Linked DNA regions of Notamacropus eugenii. The main gene of each other region encodes a partner of the protein of the gene in region 4 in a complex. Links are inferred from orthologs where the notes say so. Each region holds a gene or a part of one and is shown on either strand. Other genes may lie near its edges.

Region 1 (8,120 bases), about 270 Mb from region 4:
AGGTAGGCTGTCAAATTAGACCAATGGCACAGGGAATGCAACACACTCCAAGGGAATGACAGGAAAGGGACTGGTTCTGGGACCAGCACTTGAGAGCTAGTGCCAGCCATGACTGAGGGATTCCTAACGCATGATGTGGTAGAAAGCACATGGTCCTGGAGTCAGGAGCCCTCGTTTTTAATCCCAGCTAAAACTTTTAAGTCAATTCTCTGCTCTGGAGCTCAGTTTCTTAATGAGTAAAATAGAGATAATGCTTTTTTACTACCTTCCTCACCGAATTGTAGGAAAAATATTTTACATCTGTATTTATACCCCAGAAAACAGGATCCATTAGTATTAGCATTATTACTATAGTTTACGTTCTTTTTTTAAAAACTATTCTGCTGCCTTCTATCTTTCTTCACCAACACCCCAAACCCTTCAGGGTGCGGCCTGACTGTATCTCTCCACGACTAGAACCAGCTCTTGCCTTGCCTTGCCCAGCCTAGATGGTTGTCTTCCTAATCTGTGGGCCTAGCAGCTCTGACACCATTGATCTAGCTGGGAATCACACTTTGGACACTTACAGTTTACTGCTTTGACCAAAGGGGCTCAACTCTTGAGCTTCAGAATTTTCCCCTTTGTTAAATGTAGATGATTCTTATACTACCAACCACACAGGACTGTTTTAAGAAAAGTGCTCTGTAAACCCTGAAGAGCAGCCATTAAATCTGAGCCAGGATAATGAATGTGGGGAAGAGGAGACAGAAGGAAAAGAGGAAGAGGGAGGTCCTGGAAGGATATCAGTTGTTCTGCACATCTTCAGTGACATTCCGGATGCTCTGCTGCACCCACACCTTGTGCTGGTCCAGCTCCTGCTCCCGCTGTTGAAGCTCCTCAATTTCAGCCTTCAATTCGATGAGCTTGTCTGCTATTTCCCTTGTGTTACAGCCAGGTCCCACACCCCTATGTACAGTCCCCAAGTGGGGAGAGGGGAGTGAGATGGTACCTACCTCCCCAGGGTACCTGCCCCTAGCGTAGACATCCATCCAGGGTCCAACACTCCATGAAGGAACCCTCTTCCTCCCACCTGTCTCACTCAATGAGGCTCCTCAGTCTCTCATGAGAATCTCTCCTGCCCTGCCTTCCCCAGTACTCACTTCCACTGGATACTGTTCTTAGACTTCTTTTCAATCAGCCCAATTCCTTCCAGGACATTCGTGATGTCATAAATTCTCCGCTTCTGCCGAACAGCCAAGGTATCTGCTGCCTATTGGAGGAAGAAAAGAGAGATGCTTCAATTTGTCCCCACGGTTTAAGCCAACACCAACTCCAACAGACTTCAGCAGGGCAGGCTCAGTGCAGCCCAGAGCCACACATGACATCTTAGGAAGTTAACTTTGGTCTCCAAACTCCTCCTTACTTCTGATGTCTCTCTGTACCTGTGGTTTGCCCTACTCTCTCCTATGGGCCTGAAACACCTTCCCCTGCCAGGCATGGTACAGTTCTCTTGCCCCGTGCTCCAAAATCCAGGTTTGTTCCAGCTTGCTTCTCTTCTAGAGACCCAGCAAAAGAAGGGCATCTCCGCAGATGGTCTCGCCCAGACCTCCCTCCTTCACCTGCCTTTTGCACTTTGCAGGGGTTCCTCCTCTCTCCATGCTGGTCATTGCTCCCCCCCCCCCCCCAGTCTTCAGTTCTCCCTTGTCTTGTTCAGATCTCCTCCATTCATGCTCTGATCTGACTCCCTCATCTCTTCCTCCAGCTGTTCCTAGGCTGTTGGTCCAATTTCCACCTTTCAGGATTCCCCCAAGACCCTCGTCTCTTGGACCTCCCTCCTCTCTTAGCAAGGATTTATGAAGCCCTGTACTAAGAAAAAGCAAAAAACAGTCCCTGCCCTCAAAGGACACGCAAATCACTACATAGGAACAAGCTACGAACTTGACAAACTGGAGACGATGAGCGGAGGGAAGGCATTAAGGTGGATCGGGAAAAGCTTTTTGTGCAAGGTGGGATTTTGGCTGAGACTTGAAAGATGAGAGGTGGCGACGAGGAGAACTTGCTTCCAATGACTCTGGGAGCCGCTCACCTGGGTACCCGCTGTGCATCCCCGGCCCTCGCTTCTCCCCCCTGGTGCATCCCCGGCCCTCGCTTCTCCCCCGTGTCCGGCCCCGGCCCTCGCTTCTCCCCCTTGTGCAGCTCCGGCCCTCGCTTCTCCCCCTGGTGCATCCCCGGCCCTCGCTTCTCCCCCGTGTCCGGCCCCGGCCCTCGCTTCTCCCCCTTGTGCAGCTCCGGCCCTCGCTTCTCCCCCTGGTGCATCCCCGGCCCTCGCTTCTCCCCCGTGTCCGGCCCCGGCCCTCGCTTCTCCCCCTTGTGCAGCTCCGGCCCTCGCTTCTCCCCCTGGTGCATCCCCGGCCCTCGCTTCTCCCCCGTGTCCGGCCCCGGCCCTCGCTTCTCCCCCTTGTGCAGCTCCGGCCCTCGCTTCTCCCCCTGGTGCATCCCCGGCCCTCGCTTCTCCCCCGTGTCCGGCCCCGGCCCTCGCTTCTCCCCCTGGTGCATCCCCGGCCCTCGCTTCTCCCCCGTGTCCGGCCCCGGCCCTCGCTTCTCCCCCTGGTGCATCCCCGGCCCTCGCTTCTCCCCCGTGTCCGGCCCCGGCCCTCGCTTCTCCCCCGTGTCCGGCCCCGGCCCTCGCTTCTCCCCTGTGTCCGGCCCCGGCCCTCGCTTCTCCCCCTTGTGCAGCTCCGGCCCTCGCTTCTCCCCCGTGTCCGGCCCCGGCCCTCGCTTCTCCCCAGGGTCCCCCACTTCGGAGCCGGGCCGGGTCCGCACCAGTTTCAGGTCGAGGACTCCGTCCTTGGCCTCCTGCAGCAGCGACACAAACTTGGTCGTGAGCAGCCCCAGGCTCTTCTCGTGCCGGCTCGGGGTCCCGGGAGGCGGCGGCGGGGGCGCCTGCGGCCCGGACTCCGCCATGGCAGCCTGCCTCCCTAAGCCCAGGCCAGGCCGGCGCCCGCCGCCTGCCGCCGCCACTTCCGCTTCCGCTCGCCAGTGCCCGGCCGGCAGCCCCCTCAACACTTCCGCTCTGCACTTCCGTTTGAGCCCAGCTCTAGGCCTGCGCGTGCGCGCGTGCGCCCCTGCCGGTAGGCCTCCTAGCGTCTGGCGCCACCAGGGACCGTGTGCGATTCCCTTTCTCCCGGAGAGTCGCAGAATTCCAGGGGTCGTAGGAAAAAGCCCAGCCCTCACGGAGGGCGAAAACAACCCAGACTCGTCAACTACCAGATCTGGCGAGAAACTCCTGGGCATCGGGTCAGACCGCCTGAGTCACGGGCGGGGTGGGCAGAAGGCAGTTAAATGATGCAGTAGACTGGAGGCAGCAGGGGCTCTGTCAGTCAGTCGAGCAGCACTGATTAAGCACCTACTGTTTCCAGCACCGTGCCACCAAGACCTGAGTTCAAACGCAGCCTCCGTCCCTTACCACCCTTGTAACCCTACACGAGTCGCTTTACCTCGGCCTGCCTCAGTTTCCTAAGGTGTAAAATGGATATTATAACAATAGCATCTGCCTCCCAAGGTTGTTGTGAGAAAATTAAATATGGTTTGTAAAGTGCTTTGCAACTCACCATGTAAGTGCTAGCTGGTGTCATGCTTTTTTCCAGCTCCTAGAAAGTTTCCACTTACCTGTGGCTCCCACAACCACCTCTCTCCTACACCATCCCCCCGGGGCAGCTAGGTGGTGCAGTGGGTAGAGCACCAGTGCAGGAGTCAGGAGGACCTGAGTTCCAATCTCAACTCCAACATTTGACACTCACTGGCTGTGTGACCTTGGGCAAGTCACTTCACCCCCATTGCCTCATCCTGGGTCACCTCCAGTCTTATGGCTGGTAACCTGCACAGCCCTCCCTCACTCAAAACAAAGTCAAGTGCAAGTCATGATGGCATGGTCTTCTTTGGTAACAAAGGACAAACACACACAGCCATCATCTCTGAGGGCCACGGTGGATATCCTTAATGAAATGTTTGTTGACCCCTGCCCTAGTCCCTGGGATCTCTCTGGCTACCCTCCTCTCAGTCCACATTCCAATTCTGCGGTCCCAGACCTCTCACCATATTCACAGGTCCTGCTGCCCAAGTCTGCTTGCTGGGGGCTGGCCATGATGCCATGCTCCCGCCAGTCAAGATTCACACCCTTCCACTTATATGGCACATGTCTTGTATATACATTTAGGAATATGCATTAGAAAGTAAGGTACCTGAGGGCAGGGACCTGATTTTTTTTTTCCCCTTTCTTTGTTTCTCAAGTGATTAGCACCATGCTTGGCACAGAGTTAAGTACTTAATAAATGCTGGTTGACCCACATCCTGCTGGAGAGAAGAATATACTGGCACTCCATATGGAGGTAAAGATCAGCTATCCTCCTTCTATGCTGAGGTAGAAAAGGGTTCTTGGGGCATCTCTGCAGCTGGGTAAAGAGGCACTCCCCTTAGCCCTGGCTGAGGCATCTATACAGTCTGACCCATGCCCATAACAGGCCACTTCTCATGTTCTGTTCCACTAAATTTATCCAAACTTACCTGTCATGATACCCACCACCTGCTGCTGGATGACTCCACCCTGCCTTCTCTGAGATCTCTCCCCAACAGGGGCAGAGGCATAATCATCCCTAAGATCTTTTGCAATGGAAACCACAAGCAGGGAGAGAAAGGATTCACATACCAGAGAGGGATGGAGACAGAAGTGTTATCTGTCCCCTCTCCTCCCTTTCTCTTCTAGTTCCTGGCTATTTCCTATACCCCTGACTCCCACTAAGCCCCAGGAGGAAAACATAAGGAAGTAAAGAAGGTGGAGAATGGAAAGCATAAATCTACTGGGATCCATTGGGAAGGGAAGAGGTGGGTGCCCTAGGGCATAGAGTTGGGGGGGGGGCGGTCAGAAAGCCAGACTTTGATGAACACTGGAGGGCGCTAAGGGGCTAGGATGCTGCCACTTCCCTGGAGGGGGCATAGGCTGTAGGGTGTAGCTGTAGTATACACAAGCAATACCCTCAGCCCTTGCCCTATGATGCGGTTACCCAGGCTAGGGCTGGTACTCAGCGCTCTTCCCACCTCTCTTGTCTATCTAGACATTAGGGATCATACACAGGGCATTTCCCACAAGCTCCAGTGCCCACCCCTTCACCTTCAGTCCCTCCTCCACCCCCATCCCCCCAACACACACTCCTCCCTCCCATATCCTGAGTAGGCTGGGCAGGAACCGTGCTGCCCCAGAGGAGCCTGCCTGGAGAAGAATACGCTTTGGCTTTTAAGCTCAGCTGAGCCAAGCTTCCATAATCAAGCTTGAACCATCTCCCAACCCCCCAACAGCTAGGCTCAATTCCAATATCAGGCCTAGCACCCCACACACCCTTCCTTTACTAAGCCATGGGCATGGATACGGAGGAGGAGCAGGAATTTGGAGCCCCCCAAGGTAATGAGCCGATCCCCCTGGGGGTCACTCTGGGATGAATGAGTGGATGGATGGGTGGAGGAATGGATGGATGACCTCTGAGAGAAGTTCTGAACATCTGGAGACAGCCTTGGTGGGGAAGAGAGTGTGTGTAGTGGGGATGTTTTCCCAGGCATGGGCAATCAGCCACTTACCACCCAATAGAGGTAGCAAAGCAGAGTGGAAAGAGGATGGAGAACCTAGGTTTTTGTAGGCCATGCCATTTACTAGCTGTGTGATCTTAGACAAGCAACTTACATGACCTCTTGGGGCCTCAGTTTCTCATCTGTAAAATGAGGGGTTGAACTTAATGACTTTTCAGCCCTAAATACTGTGATACTTTGATATGGACCACATTGCAGTCCATAACAATATGGCATTTAGTGCATTTATAAAGTACCACTAAACCCGACCCCCACCTCAGCATTTGGGCAAACTTGGAGTGTTAGAAGAGGCAGACTGACCAGGTCAGGGCCCCAGATCCAGTGACTTCCTGTTAGGGACAAGGGATGGGAAACAGCTGTGGCTGAAGCCTCTTCCTGCCTCCCCCCACCCCACCCCTATCCACCTAAGCAGACTCTGAGTGGCCAGAACTAGAGAAGGCTGAAAGGTTGGCCAGAGGGGCAGCCCTGAAATGGGCCTCAGGCGTCTTCTACAGTCCCAAGCAGCTGACCAGGCTGGACCAATACCGAAGCCGAGAAGCCCAGAGAATGTGCTCCATCGAATCCCGAATCAAGGTGGGGCCAGGGAGAAGCTTGAATTTGGGGTCCCTAAAAGTCATCATCCATCCCTAGTCCCAGTCATTCCCATTCTGTCCTAGGCTCTCCCTTCCCTAATTCTGTCAAACGACCGTGCCCCACCCATATCAGATCATGCTCAGAGGGACCTTCTCTGCCCCCTCCATTGCAGGGTGCCATCTACCACTGACCTCTCCAAGCTCTCTCCCCACAGTCAACTGTACAGTCTTACTTGGAGAGTGTGCAGACAGGCCTTCAGCAACTAGGCCTGGCACTGAAAGAGGTCCAGGAGGCTGGGGAGGCCCTGGTTGGGGCCCAGGAGGCACTCTCGAAACAGGCTGAAGTTGCCCACACCCTGGGGCCTCTCCGGGAGCTGGCCAATCAGCATAGACAGCTGCAGGCGGTGACACTCCTACTGCCCCAACTCTTGGCAGGTGAGGTCCCATAATGTTCCTGGGTTTCATCAGGGGTAGGGACGAAGAGGCTCACCTTCGAGCTCACCTGATTCAATGCAGAAAAGAAAATGGAGACCCAGAGAACTTAAGTGATAGTGCAGCTAGGATTCAAACCCAAATCTTCTGACCTCAAATCCAGTGTTCTTTCTACTGGCCCATGTTGCCCTTGAGCACCAACCTTGGTCAGGCCACTTACCCCTTACCCAGTCGGTCAGTTTTCCAGACTGAACCAATGAGGGAGCTTGGGGAAAAGAAGTCTGTACTTTTCTAATGTATGACTGATCCACAAAGTGATCATGTAAATCAGCTACAAAGTCTGAAGAACCCTAAGGTTCTTTGAGGTTTGGTTTTGTTTCCTTGTTTTTTTTATTATTTTAAATTTCATTTTATGTTATTTTCATTTTCACATGGGGGTTTAATAAATGTTTGCAAGACTGAATTTCACCAGTAAGAAAACTGAGGCGCAGAGAAACGAAGTGACGTAAATATCCTGAAGTCACATAGCTAGTTCAGGACAGGTCTGAAGAAGTCCTGATGTCCAGCCCATTTCAGGACTGCTTCCTAACCTCCTGCTTCCTACTTCTCTCCTCAGTACCTGAGGCAGTGGCCAGAACCCAGGCCCTGATCAAAGGCAATCGATTCCTGGAGGCCTATGGGGTCCTACGGCAGCTGGAGCAGTTAAGGGATGAGGTGTTAGACCCACTTGGGAGACCTGAGCTATCCCTCTTTGAAGGTTTGACACCTCTCGGGGAGGAGCTGGGCCTAGCCATGGGGAAGGTGGTGGGTTCAGCTCGGCAGCTGGCACGAGATGATCCAGCCCTGCTAGTAGCTGCAGTTCGAGTGGCTGAGTTTGAGGAGGAAAGGGATATTCAGCTCCAGTCATCATCCCCTGGGCGCCCCCGAGCCTGGCGCCAGTGCTGCCTTGGGGCCCTTCGGAAGGCCCTTGAGGAAGCCTACTTTGAGGGACCAGCCCCTGGCCCTCCAGGTCTGGCAGGACACCTGGCTACTCTTCAAGAAGCTCTGCCTGCTGAACTGGCCCTGGCAGAGGCCCTGGTGGCTCCCTGCTGCCCTGGAGATTACAGAGTGGTGAAGCTGTGGGCCCACACCTTGCACCAGGGCCTCTGCCAGCACCTGCAGCAGCTTCTGGACCATGAGGACCTGGGCACCCAGGACATCTTCACACTGTTGCACTGGGCCCTGCATATTTACCCAGGGTCAGTGCCAGGCCAAGGGTGGAGAGGGTGGGCAGGACAAGCAGAGGGAGGCTGAGGAGCTGAGAGTGAAGGCAATATCTCATAGCTATGAATCCTTTGATTTCCCTTAGCCCTGAGATGATGGGTCATCCTGACCTCAATCCTGAGGCTGACATCTCTGAGCTAGAACCTTTACTGTCCCCGGAGGCTGTGGAACAACTAGAGAGAACATACACGGAAAAACTCAAGGTGAGGGTGGAAAGAAATAGGACCCCCAGGCAAG
Region 2 (7,346 bases), on a different chromosome or scaffold from region 4:
CTTTTTTCTGATTTCAGAGAATTGCACCTATTTGCTTTCCCCTCCCAACATCCTTCCTCTAAATAGAAATCAGATTACCTAATTTTGTATCATGGTTAATTTTCTTTTAATTAATTGGTCTCATAAGATTGTTTTTAATGTATAAAAGCCTGTCTCCCCTTGGAGTTGGGGTTCCATGCCAAAGTTGAGGAAAGTAAATGGTACCAAATTGTTGGGCAATTAAGGATGCTTATTAAAGGAAGCAATTAAACTGATATGCTCAGGAAAAAAAAAAAAAGAACTCCACTCTTCTAATCACCCAGAGTCATCCTCAACTGCAACCTCAGAGTAATCCTAAACTCTTCATATTCAGTCACATTCAAGCAGTAGTTAATTCTTGTGGATTCTACCTCTTTAACCTGTCTCCTAGCACAGTAAATAGAGTGCCAGGCCTAGAGTCAGGAAGATGAGTCTTCTTGAGTTTAAATCTGGCTTCAAACACTTCCTGGCTGTAACACCCTGGGCAAGACACTTATCCCTGTTTGTCTCAATTTCCTCATCTGTAAAATGAATTGAAGAAAAAAATGGCAAAGCACCATCTTGGCCAAGAAAATCACAAATGGGGTCACAAAGAGTCAGACACAACTGAAGGACAACAATAAAAACCTCTCATATCCATTCTCTCTTTTTCTTCACATCCTAACTACCCCAGTGCAAGCTTGCTTGTCATCACTTGCCTGGACTACTGCAACAGCTTCCCAATTTGTCTCCCTATCTCTTATTTCTCTCCTCTCCAATGAATCTTCCATAATGCTGACAAATTTATATTCCTAAGACATTGGTCTATGTCATGCCACTGCTCAAAAGTACAGTGGCTCCCCATTTGCCTTGAGGATAAAGATGAAACACCTCTGTTCAGCATTTTACAACCTGGTTCCAGCTGGCTTAGCCTACTTGCTATTCCTCATAAATGGTATTTGATCTCCTGCCTCTGCACCTTTGCATAGTCTATCCCCTTATCCCTAGTATTTTCTTTCTTCACCTTTGCCCCTGGGAATCCCTAAATCCCTTCAAGACTTCAAGAGGCCAGGGAAACACAGTGATCAAGACTGTAAATATGACTGGGATGAATTCACACTTAAAATAGAAGCAGACAGCAGAATAGATTAGAAATGTGAATCCAATATGTTCTTTAGAAGAGACGCATTTAAAATTAAAGACACAGAGTTAAAATAAGGGGCTGGAGCAGATGCTATTATGCTTCATATGAAATTTAAAAAAAGAGGAGTAACAAACAGGACCTCAGACAAAGCAAAAGCAAAACCAGAAGATATAATCAGGGAAACTACATTTTGCTAAACAGTACCATAGAGAATGAGTAATACCAAAAGTTTTTACAGCAAGTTTTCTGCTAACGGCCTCATTTCTCAACCCTATGGGGAACTGAGCTAAATTTATAAAAATAAGAGCCATTCATCAAGCAGTTATCAGAAGAAATCAAAGCTCTTAACAGTCATTTGAAAAAATGTCCCAGATCACAATTGATCTGAAATGCAAATTAAAAGAATTCTGAGGTACCACTTTATACCTATCAGATTGACTAACATGACAGAAAAGAAAAATGACAAATGCTGGAGGGAATGTGGAAAATCAGGGACGCTAATACACTGTAGGAGGATTTGTGAACTGGTCCAACTACTCTGAAGAACAATTTGGAACTATACTTAAACAGCTATAAAACAGCATATTCTTTGACCCAGTACCACCGTTATTAGGTCTGCAACCCAAAGAGATCAAAGAAAGTCAGAGAACCTATAAGTGCAAAAAATATTTATAGCAGCTTTTCTGAGGTAGTGGCAAAGAATTTGAAATTGAGGCAACGCCCATCAATTGGAAAATGGCTGAATAAGCTCTGGTGTATGATCGTAGGGAATAGTGTTGCACTCTCAGAAACGACCAGCTGGACGGTTTCAGAACAGCCTGTGAAGACCTATATGAACTGATGCAGAATCAGATCAAGGACACAGGAACAGCAGCACTGAAATGAGGATCAGCTGCAAAAGATATTCAGGGTCGGGGATCCTTCAGCCTCCAGCCACAAGTGGCCCTCTGAACCCTGATTAGCTACTCCCACCAAGACCCTCTGGACTGGGGTGAAAAACGCTCTCCACCCCCAGAACTGACGAATTCTGAGGGCAAACCGGAGTACACATTTTTTCACCTTATTTTTCTTGGGTTTTGGAGATATGGCTAATATGGAAATGTTTTGCACAATCTCACATGGATAACGGATATCATTTCGCTTCCCTTCTCAATGGGGAGGGGGCGCCGGAGGAAGAGAGGGAAAGGATTTAGAACTCAAGAAATATTTTGAAAAGAATGCTAAAAATAAAATTTTTAAAAAGTTCTTATAAAAGAGATGTAGCCCCGATCTATCTCCGCGGCTTCTCCTTTCTCCAGTGAAATGGATCAACTGCTAGTGCCAAGGCGGCCGAATCTGACTGAAGGCACACTTTGGCGGCGCAGGGTTTCTTCTACAAGTTAGCAAGCCCGGGTTCTCCATCTCGTGAACCCTGCCAGCTGGGGCCTCCTTTGCCCCGCCCCCTCCGCCTCCACGCCCGCCCCTCCACCCTCCACGCCCCGCCCCCTCCGCCCTCCACGCCCCGCCCCACCCCCTCCGTCAGGCTTCTCTCCTTCCGACCCGCGGCACACCAGCAGGCTCCTCCGCAGGGCAAGGAGGGCCGCCCCTGCTCCGCCTCTCCGCCCCAGGAGTGTCTGCTCAGTCTGGCCCCTATTCCCCCGTCACCGGGGCTACTCCCTGCTCACCACGGCAAACCCACCGCGGCGGGGGGCCGGAAAGCTGGAAGTAGAGGAGGAGTCGGGATAGCGAGGAAAAGGAGAGACGAGGGTGGGTACTGAAGGTGGGGAAGGAAGCCTTAGATGGTAAGGAAAGGAGGTTCCCGGGAGAGGAGAGAAGAAAAACTGGGAAATCGTAGGCTCTTAGCCGGCTCCTACCGTCTGTGGGAGACGCCATCTTCCGACCCATGTCACGTGACACAGCCAACCGTCGGCGGGAAAGTGAGCGGCAAGCACCGCCCCTAGAACTTACCCAGGCCCCGCCCCATTCCTCCTGCCCCAATCAGTGAGACCGATGGCCTAGCACCGCCCCATGCCTTCCCCTCCCACTCGTTTCCCCCTCCACCCCTTCGCCACACTCCCTGACTTAAGCCGACCGGGGCCAAAATTCCCAGTTCTTGTTTACATTCCTCCCCTCCGGGAGGCGGGGCCGAACTCTCGCCCGGTGGCCAATCCGAGCTCCCCGTAAGGAGGCGTCTTCATTCCGTGCTGGAGGCCCGAAAACAAGGGGGCGTCTTCCCCTCCTCGACCAATCGAAGCAGCCTAGAGGGACGGAGGGGGGATGGGGGCGCGGACCGAATTCTCCGTTTGGGATCCGCGGCTTACTTTCCCCGATGAGCCTCGGCGGACGGGGGTGGGGGCGTGGGCGTGGAAGGAGGCCGCGCTGAGTGATTGGCCGGAATCAGGGGCCGCCTCCTCCTCCTCCCCCAGGGAAAGGCGAGTGAGGCGGGGTCAGGTGGCGGTCTGGCTGGGAAGCGATCCGGTGACGGGCTGAAGCTGGCGGCCATGGCGGGAGTAACGGCGGCTGCGGCGGCGGCGGCGGGCTTGCGAGCCCGCGTGCTTCGGGTGAGAAAAGGCGGGGAGCCTCTGGACAGACTGGGCTCCTGCCCGCGTCCAGCGCCGGGTCTGCGTCCCCGGGCTCCAGCCCCCCCACTCCTGACGATCTCGGCCGGCGGCCAGCCCACCTCTGGCGCGCGAGACCTGATGGTTTTTACCCTGGCCTTGAACTCCTCTTCGCCGGCCTGGTGACTGTGCCCCTGTGGGGGCGCCCTGCCCCGTGAAGAACGGGGAGTCTTCAGCCGGGGTGCAGCGGCGGGCGGCTCGTATGGGTTTCCCGGGTGATCCTGTGTGTGTTACCGTACGCCTTTTGAAAGCGTCCTGATGAGGAGTCTGGAGGCTTTCAAAGACGGCCCTGGGGGTCCCTGAGGCGCAGCCCCCCCTCCGGCGCCCGGGCTGCCCTCCGAGCTCCGGCGTTGTTGGGGGGTGCCTTTGGCCGCAGAGCTCCTTCCTCATCTCTCTGCATTTTGGGGGCATTCTGTTAACTTAGCATTCCAAGTGCAGGCATTTCTGGCTGGACAAAGTGCGGCCGGGCCTTTAAACGCACCCTTACCCCAGTTCCGTGGAGGCTTTGGTTTTCGTGCTTTCTGTAGTTTCGGAGTGTAAACGCTTCCAGCTAAATACGGCCTTCCTCGGAGCAGACAGACCGTAAAGCAGAACCAGCCAGCACGGGGACAAACTGAGTCAAATGTTCCATCTTTTTCCGGTTTTTCTGGTCTGATAGGTTTCTTCCCAGATAACCCTACCTGGGTTTATGTCATAGCTTTTTGCTCTTTGTCAGTCACACGTTCCAAGATGAAGAGGTTGATTCTCAGAATCTAATTTGGCACCAAATCCTCTTTATTGTCAAGATTGGATCTAGAATAGCATTTCCTTTCACTTCCTTCCATTTTTGAAAAATGAAATTATCTTTAAGACATATCGTGTTCTTAACAATTAGATTCAGAAAAACTGATGAAGAAAGTAAACAGACAAGGAGAACTGTCAACACAATGACTTCAGTAATGTAAAGGAAGGTCATAATAAATATGAAAACTTCGACCAGCGAAAGGACCCCAAGATGACTGGGTGATTATGAAACACATCTCCTTGGTAGAGAATGAGGTGGTTCTGATCGTTATGGTGGTTTGGTTTAACTTTTTTGTTGCAAGCTACGGTTCTGCTAGACAGTTACTGGAAAGTGAAAATGTTTTTAAAAGCATCAATAAAACTTTTTTTTCCATTTTAGCACCTGCTCTGCTCTAGCTGACTACTTTAGGATACATCTAGATGAAGATAGTAACATAGTTAACATCTATATAACTCTAAAGGATCTGTCAACATCTTTACATATTTAATCTCATTTGATGAATGAGGTCTTTTACTACTAATACCTTCGTGCCATGTTTATGATCTCTTCCTCAAGTTTATCATTTGTACCCTTCTACTTGAATATGTTCCCATCCCAATGTTTTTAAACTCCGTTGATCTTCACCCAAATGTTCTTCACCATTATTTCCTCTTGTCTCACTTATGAATTCTCTAACTTAAATGTGTATTCTTAGTATGGAGTGCTTTCATAAGTGCCTCTTAGTTAATGTGTTCCTTTTGAATAAGGTATACCCTTCTGTTCCAATGTTCTAATCTTTAATACTGTCCTACCAACTCTCAGTGATACTTAGGAGCTTAAATCTAGCATTTTGCATTAACTAGTTCCTCTGTTATCCTTGATATTTTTTGTAGTATTTGGCTTTGTGGATATAACTGGCCTGTTCTCTCTCCACTACAGTTTTTCATTGAATTTCTACTCCAAAAATGATAAAATCTCCCTCTTTCTTTCTTTTGGTTTCATAGGTTTCTTCTAAGATAAACCCTACCTGGTACCCAGCATCCTTTTTTTCCTCATCTTCAGTGGTAAGTTCATGCTGGCAAAAAGGCCGGTTTATGGTGGTTGCTCTAGTTGATCTTTCTGATCCTTAGGAAAAGGAATTTCTTTTTCCTGTGGTATTGTCTCTTAAAAGGTATACCTACATCTATGTGTACAAAAATATATATAGCATCTGTCTTTATGGTAGCAAAGAATTGAAAATTGCAAGGATGTCCATCAGTTGGGGAATGGCTGAACAAGTTGCAGTATACGATTGTAATGTACTACTGTGCTTTAAGAAATGATAAGCAGGGGGAAATTAGAAGTAAACACTTTTGAAGAGGGACAAGGTCAAAAGAGAGAGAATAGAATAAATGAGGGGCAGTTTAGGATGGAGGGAAATATAGTTAGCCTTTCACAACATGACTTGTATGGAAGTCTTTTGCATAACTACACAGGTATAACCTATATTGAATTGCTTACCTTCTCGGTGGGGATGGATGGGGAGGGAGGAAGGGAGAGAAGTTGGAAGTCCAAGTTTTAAAAACGAATGTTAAAAATTGTTTTTACATGCAACTGGGAAATAAATACAGGTAATGGGGTATAGAAATCTATCTTGCCTCACAAGAAGAGAGAAGATGGGGATAAGGGAAGGGGGAGGGGTGTGATAGAAGGGAGGGCAGATTAGGGGAAGGGGTGATCAGAATGCAGAGTGTCTTGGGGTGGGGAGAGATGGGGCGAAAATGTGGTACTCAAAATCTTGTGGAAATGAATGTTGAAACTATAAATAAATTTTAAAAAAAGAAATGATGAGCAGGATGATTTCAGAAAAATCGGGAAAGTCTTAAACAAATGATACAGAATGAATTAAGCAGAACTAGGAGAACATACATAGTAACAGCAATATTGTATGATGATCAACTGTAAATGAAACTTAGCTCTTCTCAGCAATACAATGATCCAAGACCATATCAAGGGATTCATGATGAAAAAAGCTATCTTATTCCCACGAAAGGACTGATAGAGCCTGAATGCAAATCGAAGCACACTATTTTTCACTATTTTGTTTGAGTGGATTGTGTTTTTTTGGAGAGGGGAGGGGTCTGTTTTCTTTCACAATATGGAAATATGCTTTGCATGATTGCACATGGATGACTTGTATCAAATTGATTACCCTCTCAGGGAGGAGGAGCAGAAGAAGGGAGAGAATTTGGAACTTATTTTAAAAAATGAATGTTAACAATTATCTTTTCATGTAATTGGGAAAAAACTAAAATATTCAAAAAAATTTAAGCACCGTATTTCCAATAGTGTTTGATTAACTTATAGAGGCCTTTCAGAGCCTGAGCACAATATGTAATTTCAAAACATCTGCCGTTTCTGTCAGTTAATCAGAGGATCACAAAGAACCTTTTGAATTCATACTTTTCTTATCTTATGGTGAGTGGTGAGTATTACTGCCTACCCCACAAGAGACTGAGACTTGATTCTCTAGATACTTAATAGCTATGTGATTGGGCAAATCACTTAAGTTTCCTGTGCCTCAGTTTTTTCATATGTAATAAGAGTGGGCTGGATTAGATAGATTCTTGATTTCTTTTGGCACTAAATTTATGATTACATGATTCAGTGATTTTTGTTTCCACTACAAAGATCTATCATATTCCTAACAATTTTTAGGAAAAGAGATAATATAGTATGTCAACCTAAGCCATTTCCATTGTCTTAACAATTTAATGGGAATTGGTTAGTCCAACCCTTTCTCCCTACAAATGTTTTGATAGAACAATAATAATTTCAAAATATTCTGAATTTTGAAATTATTATT
Region 3 (7,501 bases), on a different chromosome or scaffold from region 4:
AAATAAGTTTCAAAAAATATAGTATCAAAAATGTGTTAAATAGAGGTGATAATGTTTTAAAGAAATTGAAAGTAATATTTGTTGATGTGGATGATTCGGCCATAAACAACTGCATGAATAATCTAGAACTGATCTACATTCTTCAAATCATGCTTCTCAACTTAAAAAAGTTACATACATATAGACTCAAAAAATGAATGAACTTGTCACTTTTCAAAAATGTCAAACATATTCTAAGATCTTAGTATTTAAAATGACACTTAAAGGATTTAAAGTAATACCCCAAGTATTTAAGATGATACCCGCATCAGAAATTTGCTTGGAACCCACACTTCCAAAACTTAATATTAATTCTTACTGCTTTTGCTGCTGACAAAATTGAACTGATATGATCAGCTAGTGTTCTACAAAACCAATACCAACCAAGGACATGTATCTTTATGAGGGAAAAAAATTTCAAATGCAAGTTATAAAACTCGTATTAATGAAAGAACCTTTTGAATTTTCAAGGGTACCAAATGTAAATGCTTTTTTCTAATCTAAATTACATCACTATCATCAGTCCTATTTATTATAGTTTTGGTAATAAGAAACCACTTTCCATTTATTAAGGCAGCAGAGATTTTTATCTGTGTATCTCACTTCTTGATTGTTTTTAAGTTCATATTTGAGGGCTTTAAGAATTCTGGCTGCAAAGGAAAAATCTACAGGCGTCCAGAAAGCCCTATTAAAAAATAGATACAAATTAAATGGCTACAATAACATAATACTACCTGCATGATACTGACTAAGCAATTATAACCTATTTGGGCCAACTTCCTCATCTGTAAAATGAGGGGCTCGATCTAGATAATTTCCTTCTAACAAATTTGTTTGCTCCTAACATCAATAGAGAAAATTGAAGAAGAATTTACTGAGTCTGTGAGACTTACGGGATTTGTTTTAAAATAGAAACAGTAGTCCTAAATCAGAGAAAAGGTTGCTACCTAAGTAAAGACATTAAGACCAAAATCTGGTTCCAGGCATAAGATCATGTAATACATAGCAAAAACTTAATTGTTTTGGCTGCAAAAGAATCTACAAAGCCTAAAGTTTCTTAGGCAAATGTCAAAACACTTTAGAAATGTCCACTATTTCATAATTATGAAATACAAGATACACATCCACAAAAATGTGTACTATACATGTCTCTTTTAAGATAACAGTTGTCTTAAAAACAGCACACCAACTTCGAAGAGAATCTAGGACAAATAACAGAAACAATCTGCATTTTGCTTTCCAACATAAGGTTTTGCTTTGCTATTTGGGAACATCACTGATTCTGATCTTATAGTATTTTAACACTGATAAATAACACTAAGTTCCTTTTCCATGGGAGTGGGAAGGTAAACTAGATGATCTCAAAGGTCCCTTCAAGTTATAAATTCTACAATTAATTCTACTATTTTCTTTAGCTGACACAGGATTTAGATACAACACATAACAGTAGAAAGTACACTGGATTTGGAATCAAAGACTCTAGATTCAAATCCCAGCTTTGTCATTTTCTCCCTATGTGACCTTGGGCAATTCACTGGTCCTAAGTTTTCTTATCTGTATAACGAGGGAGCTGGAATGGATGACCTCTAAGGTTCTTTCCACCTTTAAAATTATGACATGATCTATTATTTCCAGATTAGAGGCAGCCTGGTAAGAAGAAAAGAATACAAGGTTTGAAATCAGAAGAGTGAAGATCCTAGCAGCAATTTAAGCCATGCGACCTTGAGCAAGCAGGTTGTTTCATCTTTCAAGGCAACAGTTTCCTCATCTGTAAAAGGGAATGGATCTGAAGATCATCCTTCTTCTCTAAACCTCTATCAGACTCTAACTGAGAGACCAGCAAAAATGATAAATGGTACAGGAAATGATTTGAAAAGAGATCAGATTATGACTATAAGACTAAAGTTTATAGAAGGAGAAAAAACCCCAGAAACTAAGCTATTAACTTTTTCAGGGAGAGGAAGAACACAGGATTGAAGTACTTGGAAGGTTCAGTGATATTTTGGGAGACCTCAAAGACCCTGAAAAAAGGAAAGGGAATTCAAGTTTACATATTGATAACATCTGATTCATTTTCCATGGGAAAGGGGGTAGACAAGATACATAACCTTTGAGGTCCCTCCCAGCTCTGAATTCTCTGATAAAGCTCCGTGGAAAAGATGGTCCAATCTATAGATCTCTAAAACAGTTACCACTGGGGAATTACAGTTGTTGAGAAAAAGGTGAACGCAGGAATTAAATTTAAAAGCATAGGAAAGGATAGGGGGGAACAAAGCGAAAGCTTCAGTTTGGATAAATGCCTCCGACTGGTGGTCAGCACGAGAAATGGGACGCTCCACGATTCTCGGGTGGGGAAGTGCCTCTGGAGGAGCTACAAGATCTTGAGCTGGGGTCCTTCACCCCAGAAGGCATCGAAAAGCCAGCAAAGTCGCTCTCCTGCCGGGGGTGCCCCCCACAAATGGGAGGGTGTCCCGGTCCAGCTCTCGGCCCCCGCGTAAGCACCAACACGTAGGTTCCTGCGTCCCGCTCCGGGGACGGAAGGGACAGCGCGCGTGGAAATAAAAGAGGGGAAGCCTCTCGAGAGGGGCACGTGGGGGGTTCCCCAGTCATGAGGGAGGGGTGAGAGCCAGGGGCTCACTTCCTCGGACCCCGCCCCACCCACCCACGGCAACCCCACAGCGCTGCCGCGACCACGCGAGGACCGAGCGCTGGGGGGAAGGGGGACGTTACCTGCCGGCGTAGCCGTGGAGAAGGCGGCCTGAGGGGCTCGCGTCCGGCCCACGACGCGAAGGGGGCGAGGGAGCTACCCCGAGCCGCTGCCGCAGCAGCTCCTCGGCTGGACTGGGGCCGCCGGCGGTCTGCGGACTCATTCCCGGGGGTCCGGGGGCGAAGGCGCCGGGGCTCGAGAGCCCGCGAGACCGGCCGGCCGTGCGCACGCAGCCTCCAGCAGCCTCGTGCCCGCCCGCGCGCGCGTGCGCCCCGCCACCCGTGCGCGGCCCTGCTCCCCCTCCCACCCCGGGCTCTCGTCGCCCCCCTTCGCCGAGCGTCGGGAACAGCTGCCGCGCCCCAAGCCCGGCTCAGGCCCACCTGCTCCTCTCACCTCGCGGGCGGTCGGCCCCGGGGCCCGGATCAACTCTCCTCTCTCTTCCCCCGCGCGAGCTTTGGCGGGGGCTGGGTACTGCGCGCTCCGGTTGGACACCGGGCCGCGTGACGTCAGGCGCTGCTGCCCGCCGATTGGTCTGGCTGGCGATGCGTGCGGGGTGTAAACAAACCCCGCCCCCTGGCTTCCCAATGAGGGCGGGGAAAGGTGGGGTGGGCAGGGGGGCGGGGCCGAACGTCCCGCCCGAGCCCAAGCCACGAGGTGACAGCGGGAGGGGGAGGAGCCCGTGGCAGGGGTGGGGAGGGGTGGGGAAGGAGGGAAAAAGCGCTCTGGGGGTGGGGCTTGCATCAAACCCCGCCCATGGGGAGTGGCCGAAAGGAGCGTGGCCTGTGGCTAGCCCGGCCTCCAGATTTTCTGCAGGAAATTCCAGCCCCTTCCAAGGAAAGGGCCGGAGGCGCAACAGATGGCTCCGGGCCTGGAGTCGGAAAGACTAGTTCAAATCCCGCACATGTAACCCTTGAGTGCTTGCAAAGTGCCTTACAAATAACATCTCCTGTGATCCTCGCAGCCATCCAGGGAAGGATGCTCTTATTATGAATTATTATTCCTATTGACAGATGGAGAAACTGAGGCAGGCTTGGACATCCTGAGGCCGGGGTCTATCCTCTGCTGAAACCCCCAGCGGCCAGAAAGCACGTGTTGAAAGTCTGCTTACGTGCTAAGTGCTGGGGATGCACAGAAAGGTGGAAACCATGGTCCTGCCCTCAGTGAGCTCACTTTCTGATGGCAGGGTGAGTCCGCAAGGAATTATACATCCAAGACCTAGTTCTTCCTTCCCACCAAACTTCCCTATCTGAGCAGGTAAAACTTTCATTCCCAAAGAGGACCATGACATCAGGAAGATGTTGCCATGACTTGTAAGTGAATTGGATTTAAGAGATAGATCAGAATAGGCTAGAGATGGCCCAGCATACAATAGGAGACCTCCACCTTTCTTAACTTCTCTCAAATCATACCAATCCATTCACACCCCTGGGAGCCTGGAATGAGGCACCTACATAAAACCAATCCAAATAAGGAACCCCAGAGACAGGATTCAATTGTTGTTGAAAGGAAGTAAGTAAATCAGACTGGGTGAAGCAGTGATGAATGGACTTTGGATTTTTCCTCATACCAAGAAAGGGCATGAGGACAACATCAGGAGTAACTGAATCAGATTTTTAAGACCTCAGAAGCCAGGCAGACCAAGTTCCCACCGATGAATTCCCTCTATATAACAGTCCCCATGGGAGGTCCTTTAGTCCCCAGGAATGGATAACTCAGACACTGCAAGAGACTGGCCATTCCATTTTCATCAGCTCTAAGCATAACAAACGTGTTCCTTCTGTTGAGCTGAAATCAACCTCTCTGTAAATTCCTAGGTCTACCCTCCAGGGCAAGTTAATTCCTGGTTCTCAACCTTTCAGATGTTAGAAAACTGATCACATCTATCATATTTTCTTTTCTTCAGATTAAACACCACCTTCAAACAAACCTTCAGTCTGTTCTTTGTTTTTGTTTTAGTAAGATTTGCTTTTGAGTTTTTTGAGTTTGCCTCACTATCCTGGTTACCCTCTCGACTCTAGTTTATCAATATGTCTCTTAAAACATAGGTCTCAGAGCTAAGCATTCTTTCAGAAGAGAAATAAACAGGTAAAGTCAAGGGAGTTGAAAGCTAAATAATGGCAAATTAATGTCACCTTGAATAATTTTTAAATACACAAATCCTAAAGCAATCATTGCTTCATTAACAAAAACTAGAACATTTATAAGCCAATTCAATACAAGTATTTTTAATGTCCCTATGTGAAAGACACTATGCAAAATGATGGAGATGCAGAATATATACCCCTGGACCTCCACCCCACCTCCAGGACACACACTCTACTGAGAGAGTACTGTTGTTTCCTCTACTGGGAGAATACAACATGTACACAAGTAATTCAAGGAGGAAGAGACCCCTAATCACTGGATGAGGATAGGCTCACTTCACAGAGAAGATGGCAAGAAAATAAGGCTTCTGAGGGGTATGGATAAGGAGTGAACTGCAAATATGAGTGGCGGCTTGTGTGGATACATGAAGGCAGATGATAGAATGTTGCATCTGAAGAGCAGCTAATAGGCTAGTTCAGCTGGATCCTATATTACATAAAACAAGAAGGAGAATAATGTGAAATGAGGCTGTAGGACTGGAACCAAATTGTTGAGAACCTCAAATGCCAGGCAGAGGAGTTTGCATTCTGTACCAAAGGTCATAGGGAGCTACTGAAAGGTTTTGAGCAAAGGAATGACATGGCCATACTGGTACCTTTGGAAGATTATTTTGGAATCCTTGTGGAGAGTGGATTGAAGATGGGAGACTGGAAGTACAGAAACTAATTAGGAGGCTAACAATTTAACAATTGTGTAGGTGAAGTATGACAAAAGTTTGAACAAGACTATTGATACTTTGGAGAAAAAAAGAATAGAAGAGATATGGAAGTCAGATCCACAGGATTTGATGAGGATTTAGAAATGAGGGCTGATAACTGAGATTATAACCCAGATAATTGGGAGTCCAATGGTGTCTTCAAATGAAAAGGGGAAATGAGTGTGGGAGAAGAGAAGGCAGGCTTAGAGAAGATAATGATTACTGTTTAAGATTGTGCCTCAATTTCATTCAAAATCTGCTAAAGCCAATATTCTTTTGAGCAAAATAACTTGTAAAAAAAACTAACTTAAATATCTTTCATATAACTTACTCAGACACAATGTAAAATAAAAGGAACAGTGGAATGTAACAAAATTTCCATCTACTGTGTATCAGTGATGTGATCTGCCTATGAATTTCCATGACCTAAGCAGAGTAAACCATAAAAACCTGTAGTTGCTAGTTCCACAGAAAGTCAGTTCCTTCCAGGATAAAGGACAACTTACTAATGTAGTTTTTAAAAAAAAGACCCTGAAAACCTTTCAGGAAAAAGTAACTTGTGGAAGTTTTTCTGGGGGGAGGGGAAAGGAAAATTAATATAACATTTAAAAATTCCTAAATAGGTACCTAGTGCCAATTTTGGTCCAGTGATGGTAAAATTAGCTTCACAATTAATGAAAAAGGATTTTTTCCCTTTTGCCTTAATAGCCATTGCTCTCTTTTCCTCCTCATTGCTTTAATCAGTAATTATATAATGGGACAAGAAAAGAGAGATTTTTTTATGTCATTATCATCACTCAGATTTACACAGTACAATATGGCTTACTTATTACATTCTTCACAACCTGTTGAGGCAAGTGGTACAAATATTTTCATTTGCAGATGAGGAATGAGGCTGAGAGGAAATGATTTACTCAAATTCACATGGCCACTAATAAAAATTTATGCTTTCTCAGACCAAAATCCGTACTTTGTCCATTCCACCATGATTCTAGAGATGAGAACTTCAGTGTTTATTTTATATTATCCATGCCTAACCAAATCTACTTAAAATTAATCAGATAGGTATCAATAATGTTATTGTTGTTATTCAGTCATTTTCAGTTGTATCCAACTCTCTGTGACCCCATTTGGAGTTTTTCTTGGCAAAGATACTGGAGTGGTTTGCCATTTCCTTCCCCAGCTCATTTCACAAATGAAGAAACTAAGACAAATAGGGTGAAGTGACTTGCCCAGGGTCACATAGCCACATGTCTGAGGCCAGATTTGAACTCAGGAAGATGAATCAGCCTGACTCCAGGCCTGATGCTCTATGAATCATGGTACCATCTAGCTACATCAATAATGCCTACACTTCATAAAGTGTACTACCTATAAAGTATAAAATATACTTTAATAATATATGCTTAATAAAGTATACATGTATACTAATATATTCTACTAGTCAGCTCATATGTGTCCTGGCCCAGGGCTTTTTTATGAGAACAAAAATGTTTCTTCACTTCCTTTTTGTTTTCTAAGTCCCAGACCCACATTACCAACTAATTACTGGACATTTCAAACAGTGTATTCCATGGACATCTCAAACTTAACATATTGCAAGCAGAATTCTGCTGGGATTCCCCTCCACAGTTCACTAACTCTCACCATCATTGATGGATGACTAAATCAGCACTATCTACATGAAATGTTTCCTGATCCCCACAGGTGCTCAGGCACTCCCTCACAAAACTACCTTATACTTCAAGTATTCAGTGTGTTATGTATATGCTTAGAAACCACCATGTTATGTATTTATTTAGAAACAGCCATGTCATCTCTCTCATTAGAATTCAAGTGCTTTCAGAGTAGGAAAAGTTCAAGTGTGCCTTTCTATTCCCAGCTCTTAGCACAGTGCCTGGTGCACAATATAT
Region 4 (8,194 bases):
AAGCATACTACTACTACTAATATTAAGCACCTACAGTTTGCCCGGCAATGTGCTAAGTGATGAGGACATAAAGAAAAACAAAACCCAGCTCTCCCCCCCACCCCGCCTCTCTCCCCCTCCCACACCCGTCTCAAGGAGTTGGGGGGGCAGGGGAAAGACAACCTGCTAACAACTGTGTACAAATAGGACAGATACAGGATAAACTAGGGTGGTCTCAGAGGAAAGCCTAGGAAAGCTTTCTTGCAGCAGGTGGGACTTTAGCCGAGTTTAGAAGGAAGCGGGGTGAGGGGCTCCGAGTGGGGAGGTGGGGGGTCCAGGGCAAGGAGGAGCCAGGAGGAGGGCAAAGTCACTCTGGAAGGGCTGACAGCACAATAAAGGTTTGGGAGAAAAGCGGGCGGGGCTGGGCGGGCCCAGAAGCCCGGACTGCAGCATTTAAAGGGCTGTCAGTCGGAGGCGGGAGGGGGAGACGTTGCCCCTCTGCCCCCCTCCCTCCGCCCGGGCAGATCCGGAGCCCCAGGGCGGTGACAGCGGTGGACTTCGACTCTCCAGCCCGAGTGGTTCCAGCGGGGCCAGGAGCAGCGAGCGGGGGCCCGCGGGCCCGGGAGGGGTGGGGGCGGGGGGCGCAGGCGCCTCCTCCCCGGCCTCGCGCCCTGGCTCTCACCTCCAGACTGTAGGTGCTGCGGATGGCCATGAAGTCGCCCAGGGCTTCGGCCGCGCTGCCCTCGTCTAGGTTCAGCTCCTGACACAGGGCCTGCAGCGCCTCCCGGGCGGCCCCAGCCCCGGCCGCCCCCAGGCTGCGCAGCTCGTCCTGAAACATCCCGCCCGTGGCCCCGGGCTTCGGCGGCCGGCGCTCGGCGCCTACGCCGCCCGCGTCCGCCTCACACTCCCGGTGGCCACGGCTCCCCCACAATCCCCCGCGCCAAAGCGCGCGAAAACTCTGTCCCGGAAAGGGGCGGGGCCTTGCGGAGCTGCGTGACAGCCCCGCCCTTCGAGTCCCTTCTCTCGGGGGCCGGCTCACCTCCCGGACCCCTCCTGCCTCCGTCCGAACACTGCTGGGAAGAGGGTTTCGGCCTGGGAGGTAGCCGCTGGTCTGTCCAAAAAGTTCAAACTGAGCTTCTGCTCCAGGGCCTGTCGGGAATTGTAGTCCGCATCCTGTCGTGGCGGACGGGAGGGGGAGGAGGACCGGCATGTCCGGGCTGCTGGAGCCCCCTGAACCGGACCTCGTGGGCTGAGTTTCTCCCACCCGCCTGGGCCCCCCCTGCCGAGATCCTTCTCCAGGGGTGCTAACGATAGCTCCAGAGCCCATTGTGGGCGCTTACGTCGAGGACGGCAAACGGGTTTGGTTGAGTTGAGAAAGTGATGGAGAACATACGAATAACGTAGATTAAACTAAAAGTGTGTAGGGAGCCCCCTCGCCCTCCCAGCGCATCAGCCCGTCCTCCAGGCCTTCCAGGCAGCTTCATCCGTGCGCCCCGGGGCGACGATGCCTCGGCCGGGACGCTGATCCTCTTGTGTGTCACGGACCCCCTTCTCAGAACGGGAAAATAATGCGAATTTCAGGTGAAGAACTGCAGTCCTCCACTGTCTTCGTCCGAGGATGGGAGACAAGGGAAAATGAAGCACAGGAGGACGTTGGAAGCCCGGGGGTGGGGAGGGGTTTGCTTTGTTTTTGTTTTGTTACCTGAGCAGGAGTTCGCTCTGCGGGGTCCACCCCCACCTCTGACCTCCAAGTGGAGCCTGCCAGGCGCAGAGACCTCGCCATCTCCCAGAGGGGACCGTTCGAGAGTTGGAAGCCCTAAATGAACACTCTTTACTGAACCAAAATCCGCCCTCCAGCTTCTTTAGGTCGGTCCAGATTTCATTTTCTTTGTTAAAAACAAAAACAAAACAACACTGATGAAACTCCTCGTTTTAAATTTTCAAACTTTACATTCTATTCTATATAATCATTATTCTTATTTTGAAATCCAAAGGATCTGCAGCCAATGACGAGTCGCTGAATAATAGGTAGCATTTACATATCGCTTTTTAAGGTTTGCAAAACCTTATCTCATTTTATAGGTATATGTGGATATTATGTGTGTATATACATAAATATATGTAACGGTGTGGCACCTATCTGTATGTTAACTCATTTGAGTTAGGTGCTATTATCATTCCCATGGTATGGAGTCAGTTAACTAGCATTTATTAAGCACCTCCTTTGTTCTGGGCACTGCTAAGCACTGAGGACACGAAGAAAGACATAGTAGTACCTGGTCTCAAGAAGTTCACCTGGGGAGGGGAGCAGAAAACACAACAGCCATGTATGAATATAATATATGCAGGGTAAATTGATGATCTCAAAGAGAAGGTCCTAAGATTAAGGAGGATTAGGGAAAAATTCTTGAAAAAGGTGGGATTTTAACTGAGACCAGAAAGAAACTCGGGAAGCCGAGAGGCAAAACTAAAAGAGGAAGGAGAGCATTTCAGGAATGGGAGACAGGCAGTTAAAATGCTCAGGAGTCATAGAGTATGTATGGGGGGATAAGGTGTAAGAGGACTGGACAGGCAGGAAGAGGTGGGGTTTTGGAGGCCTTTCACAAGCAAATGAAGAAAATGAGAACAAGAGAGGTTAAGTGACTTGCCCACAGTCACTCAGCTAGTATCTGAAGCAGGCTTCAAGTTCAGATCAATCCAAGTCCAGTGCTCCAAGACCACTTGGCTACCTCCAAATCAAGAACCATAAGATTTAGGGACCAACTCCTTCAATTTACAGATGAGAACTGAGGCCTCAAACTCAGAACTGAGGACATCAAAAAGTTTGTAAGCCATAGAGTTAGGATGTGAAAACAGGACCTCTGATTCCAGGTCAGATCTTTCCCCTTATCTCAGACTTTATCTTAAAGGAGTTGTTTAAAATGAGACAGCGATGCTTTAAAGGCTGATTATTTTTACCCACGATATAGTGAAGGTGGACCCAGGAAAAATCACGTAGAAGGTGAAGAGGAAATATTTGACCAACTCTTAGCAGCTACTTTCAAATCACTGTCCCTAATTGAAAAGCAATTTGATCTTCCCTGCTCCATAGCATGCAGCTAGTGGTAAAGTGGATAGAGCACGGGCTTAGAATCGGGAAGATGCATCCTTATAAGTTCATGTCTGGTCTCAAACACTAGCTGGGTGACCCTGGGCAAGTTACTTAAGATCATTTACCTCAGGTTTCCTCATCTGTAAAATGAGCCAGAGAAGGAAATGGCAAACCACTCCCATATCTTTACCAAGAAAACCCCTTATGGGGGTTAAACTTATGAGAGTTAAACACCATTGAAACAACTCAACAAAGACAACACTCTATGGCAGAGAATAAAAAAGAAAAGGAACTGAAAAACAAAAGAAAATCAAAGGATGCACTGCTAGACCTGTCAACTAGAAGGATCATGGTATCCATTTAAGAAGAGACTAATTGGAGTAGGGAAATTCTTTGCAATTTTCATGTAGGTATCTCTCATGTTTTCATTTCATCTAGACTGCAACTACAAGATAATGTGGTTCATAAAAATGAACCAATTACAAAGGAAGCATTCCAACCAAAGATCCCAAACGTAACAGGAAATTTGAGTTTGTTTGTAGCATGGACTAGGTAAAGTATAGGGAGGAGTATGAAATAAAAATGAAGAGGTTTAGTGGTGCCAGATTGCTGACAGTACCTGACTAGGGATGAGTCAATAATAGTATGCTTACTCAATGAAATAGCTCCATTTTTCTTATATGTTGTCTTATATGTTACCTTTGACTTTCATTCACCCCCTGCCCTTTGTTATTATCAGTCTGATTCCTTTGCTATCTCTAAAGTTCATCTACTCCATTGATCTCTGCTTGTGACCATCACACAAGATGAAGAACTGGATGGATATATGCTCTATGGTTTCTCCTACTTCTTGCTGGTCACTGGTCTAGGAAAAAAAGGCCCTCCAGCAGTCTAGAGCTAAGCTATTCAGCCTTGGAATGAATACTGTGTAGAGCTGAGCTGAACTGAACTAGCTGAGAATGAGCACCTACAATATACCATCTCCCTCTATAATTAATACGGTCCCAGGTCTACATTGACCCTTGCCTTGACCATCAGGCAGGACCAAGGACATCTGCTCTGCTACCTCAAGTGTACATACCTCCCCATCCCCTGCCTTCTTCTCAAGGACTGATAATCAAATACATTACTAGTATTGCCTTATGACAATATCTCTGTGCTTCAGTTGGGTGAGTATGTTGAAGTTTCTCTCACTATAGCTCCATGCTCCCTCATATCCATCCATGTTAGCCCTAACCAAAACTCTCTGGAGTCATTAGTCTATTTTTTTCTACTTTTCTATTGTACTCAGTCAACTGTTGGTGCAGTGGATAGAGCACCAGACCTGGTGTCAGAAATCCAGCCTTCGACTCTTACTAGCTGGGTGATTCTGAGTAAGTCACTCAATCTCTATTTCCTCAACTGTAAAATGGTAATAATAATAACACCTACCTGGCAGGGTTGTTGTGAAGATCAAATGAGATGATAATTTTAAGAGCACTTAGCATGAGGCCTCGTCCATGAGAGGTATCACATAATTACTTGTTCCCTTCTTCCCACTCTAGAATTCCTGTCTTATTTTTTCTAATTTTTCTTTTTAAAATTTATTTGTTTGCAGTTTTCTACAATCACTTCCATAAGTCTTAGATTTGCTCCTCCTCCCTCCCCACTCCCTCCCCAGACAGACAGCATGCAATCTTATATGGGTTCTACCCATACATTCTTATTAAATACATTTTCATGTTAGTCATGTTGCATGGAAGAATTAAAATGAATGGGAGAAGCTATGAGAAAAACCCAAACAAAACAAAACATAACACAAGAGAAAATATTCTACTTCATTCTGCTTTCCAATTTCATAGTTCTTTCTCTGGATGTGGATGGCATTTTGCCTCAAGTCCTTTGGGAATGTTTTAGGTCCTTGCATTGCTGTGAAGGTTAAGTCTACCAGAAAAATTCTTTGCACACTCTGGTTGTTACTATGTACAATGTTCTCCTGGTTCTGCTCCTTTCACTCAGCATCAATTCATATAAGTCCTTCCGGGCCTCTCTGAAGTCTTCCTGTTCACCATTTCTTGTAGCACAATAGTATTCCATTATATTCATCTACCACAACTTGTTCAGCCATTCCCCAATTGATGGGCATTCCCTTGATTTCCAGTTCTTGGCCACCACAAAGAGAGCTGCTATACATATTTTTGTACATGTGGGATCCTTTCTCATTTTTATGATTTCTTTGGGATTCAGTCCTAGAAGTGATATTGCTGAGTCAAAGGGTATGCACATTTTTATAGCCTTTTGGACCTAATTCCAAATTGCTCTCCAGAATGGTTGGATCAACTCACAGCTCCACCAACAATGAATTAGTGTTCCAACTCTCCCACATCTTCTCCAACATTTATCATCTTCCTGTTTTGTCATGTTAGAGAATCTGATAGGTGTGATGTGGTACCTTGGGAACTCCTGTCTTATTGATAATGTTGTCCTTTATATTAGACCAATACCCCCTAGTACCTCAAATTTCTTTGCATATCTTTTATATTTATGTGTGTACATATTATTTCTCTCCAAAGGGCAGGAACAGCTTATTTTATCTCTTTAGTCCCCATACCTAGTACAATGCCTGGCCAGGTATGGGCCCTTCATGCTTGTTAAATTAAATAGGATCAGCTATTTCTCTTGATTTCTACCTCCATGCCATTTGGTTAAATTCTCACCTCATTCATCTTTTTGCCTTATAATCTTTTCCATCTCCTAATCAATCACATATCCTAATTTCAAGTTAAGCATTCTCACACTGATCAGCATACTCCCTGTTTAGGAATCCAGTCACTCCAAAGCTTAAACTCATCCTAGCCTGGAGGCTCTTTGCTGTCTGACTTCATTTTTTGGTATTCATATCATACTGTCTAGGTTGTAGCTGGGCTGATCTTCCCCTAAATATTACTCATACTTTTCCCTCTCCTTAGAATGGTTTCTATATCATCTTACTATTAGCTTTTGTTCCTTTTTTGACTCACTTTTCAGAATCATTCCTTACCTTGTTTTGAGTTCCTTAATACATACAGGTATATTAAAATCTATAACCTTTATAGTCTCTGGTTGATGGAGTTCTATTAGTCCTACTCTAACAGAATATAAGTTCCTTAAAAGCAGGATCTATTTCACAGTTATCTATAAAACCAGTTCCCAGCACATAGGTGCTTAATAAATGACTATGGATTGAGTTTGGTTGCTGCTATTCTCTTCTTGGGAAAGCTGCTTGAGAGTAGGGATTCTGTTTTTACATCATTATTATCCTTCTTTGGACCCCTCCCTCCCAGCATGGAGTACAAGTCTATGACAAATGCTTTAATAATCACATATAAAATGAAAGGGATTTTTCCATAAACACATTTTGCCTATTACCTTAGAGTTTGCTCATTTTATCTAATACGAGCTTAGGCTTTCTGAATAGAAAAGAATAATGAAACGAATCTACCCTTGCATGGACTCCTAGACCTAAACACAAGACAACATTATTCATCAATCACGTATATTGCTATGTTTATTTAAACCCTCAAGGGATATCTAATAGTGGAGTTAAATAGTTGCTGTTACCATATTTAATATTTCAGTGATCCTTTAGAACAAATGCAGCATTGCCCCTCAGAAAAATCCAAACACCTGACATTCCAACGGTCAAAAAGGGGCAGTTGATCTTGACAGGGGAGGGGGCCAGCCCTGGGCTCACCATTCTTGCTGGGAGAAGAAATTGGCTAGGTAGTTTTTGAGGGGAGGAAGCAGTAATGGGTTGCTTGGAAGTTAAAATTCTTGAGTTCTGGATCAACTTTTACTTACATATTTTGTAGTCTTTGAGCAGGAAAAAGATAAATTGAAGAGCACACAGACTTGAAAACAGTATAGTTGCATTTTTTTAGGTCACTGTCCAACAAATCAAAGGCCATCTCCAGGGGGTTATTTCTGGCTACTAAGATCTTCAAGTGACTATCTAGCCACAGAGGGCATAAAGATCAAGGTACTTCCCATCAGCATTTGCTATACTTAATTCCAAAATTAAGGAGGTAAACTTTCCTTACCAAAGCCTCAAACCCTAGCTTTGCAACAACAGGAGTCACTTAGACATAGGCCTGGTGTTTAATTTCATTTAAGGAGTCATTCTAAAAGAGTAAAGAAATCAGTGCCTGAAAGGGAATGTCAAGCTTTAAGATGCAACAAGCCAAATTATCCAAAAATTTCACTTTCAAGTACTTCAGACACCTCAGTTAAGAGGAGTTTTGGACACTTGTTATTTTAGGCTTTTAAAAAGGCTACATATATAAAACCTATTTCTTTCATTCTTTTCCTCTCATGCTAGTTTTCACAGCCAGGCAGTCAAGTTACTTCCTACCCCAAACTAAATTTAACCTAGCTCATCTTCCTTTATCACCACAGTTCTTTGACCTATCCCTTTTGTTCTTTGGATGAAAGTGGAAAAAAAAATGCTGTATAGCAACCTCTTGTTAAATTGCTTGAATTTACTGTAATGATTAGAATCAGGCATAAAATTAAAAGTGGGCCATCCTACATGATGTGTATGAAGCATTTATGTTTCAAGTATTTTACTGATGAGCACAGTCAATATGAAAACAGCACACACACTGGAGCTTCAGTAATATTGCTATTATTTAAGATATGAAGGCAGTGTCATCTCTCTTTAGGTGGTGAAAAATAACATTAAAATATAAATTTTCATATCTAAAAGCAAATTTATTTGTCACTAAGGTCTAGAAATTTTACATGCTAAGACACTTACAAAAGGGAGAGCAGCCAGTTTGTTCATGGTATTATATGAGTGAGTTCCATCCTGTACTTCCTTCAATACTAGAGTATTTTCACATATATGGCAACTGATCATAGTGAACATTTTATGGTATTCCAACAAATAAAAGTTTATTTCTTGAGAGACCTTGCTCAGTCAGGTGCAGATATGGATATTTTTAGAGCTTTTTCTTTTTGTTTTGTTTTTAACATAAATTTTATTTCATATACCATTGACAAATACATGAAGAGGGCATAAGAAATAGGAAAAGCAAACATGAGCTCAAAGGGAAATGACAAAAGATTGTAAATGACTGCACGTGACTGCAAGTGATCACTTCCTGA

What was found.
Region 1: RBL1 (region 4) and E2F4 share a complex: the UniProt entries of both Homo sapiens proteins name them as parts of the DREAM complex. The link is inferred for Notamacropus eugenii from reciprocal best matches to the Homo sapiens genes RBL1 and E2F4.
Region 2: RBL1 (region 4) and LIN52 share a complex: the UniProt entries of both Homo sapiens proteins name them as parts of the DREAM complex. The link is inferred for Notamacropus eugenii from reciprocal best matches to the Homo sapiens genes RBL1 and LIN52.
Region 3: RBL1 (region 4) and TFDP2 share a complex: the UniProt entries of both Homo sapiens proteins name them as parts of the DREAM complex. The link is inferred for Notamacropus eugenii from reciprocal best matches to the Homo sapiens genes RBL1 and TFDP2.

What each region holds. Positions count from the first base shown.
Region 1 is NC_092872.1:695,049,948-695,058,067, reverse strand, and holds the start of E2F4 (transcription factor E2F4), read right to left. Parts: upstream 3,057-8,120; 5' UTR 2,944-3,056; coding exon 2,803-2,943; intron 1,250-2,802; coding exon 1,140-1,249; intron 946-1,139; coding exon 784-945; intron 1-783. Other genes in the region: EXOC3L1 (exocyst complex component 3-like protein), read left to right, coding at 5,389-5,434, 6,026-6,189, 6,404-6,623, 7,237-7,858, 7,969-8,086. UniProt on the Homo sapiens protein: Transcription activator that binds DNA cooperatively with DP proteins through the E2 recognition site, 5'-TTTC[CG]CGC-3' found in the promoter region of a number of genes whose products are involved in cell cycle regulation or in DNA replication.
Region 2 is NC_092878.1:56,576,996-56,584,341, reverse strand, and holds the start of LIN52 (protein lin-52 homolog), read right to left. Parts: upstream 3,103-7,346; 5' UTR 3,058-3,102; coding exon of another isoform or gene 3,026-3,057; coding exon 2,995-3,025; coding exon of another isoform or gene 2,920-2,994; exon of another isoform or gene 2,901-2,919; intron 2,888-2,900; exon of another isoform or gene 2,660-2,887; intron 1-2,659. Other genes in the region: ALDH6A1 (methylmalonate-semialdehyde/malonate-semialdehyde dehydrogenase [acylating], mitochondrial), read left to right, coding at 2,920-3,057, 3,547-3,681, 5,506-5,565.
Region 3 is NC_092877.1:330,407,221-330,414,721, forward strand, and holds the start of TFDP2 (transcription factor Dp-2), read right to left. Parts: upstream 3,302-7,501; 5' UTR 3,140-3,301; exon of another isoform or gene 3,127-3,139; intron 3,021-3,126; exon of another isoform or gene 2,770-3,020; intron 1-2,769. UniProt on the Homo sapiens protein: Can stimulate E2F-dependent transcription.
Region 4 is NC_092872.1:427,722,284-427,730,477, forward strand, and holds the start of RBL1 (retinoblastoma-like protein 1), read right to left. Parts: upstream 3,373-8,194; 5' UTR 1,307-3,372; coding exon 662-1,306; intron 1-661. UniProt on the Homo sapiens protein: Key regulator of entry into cell division. Directly involved in heterochromatin formation by maintaining overall chromatin structure and, in particular, that of constitutive heterochromatin by stabilizing histone methylation.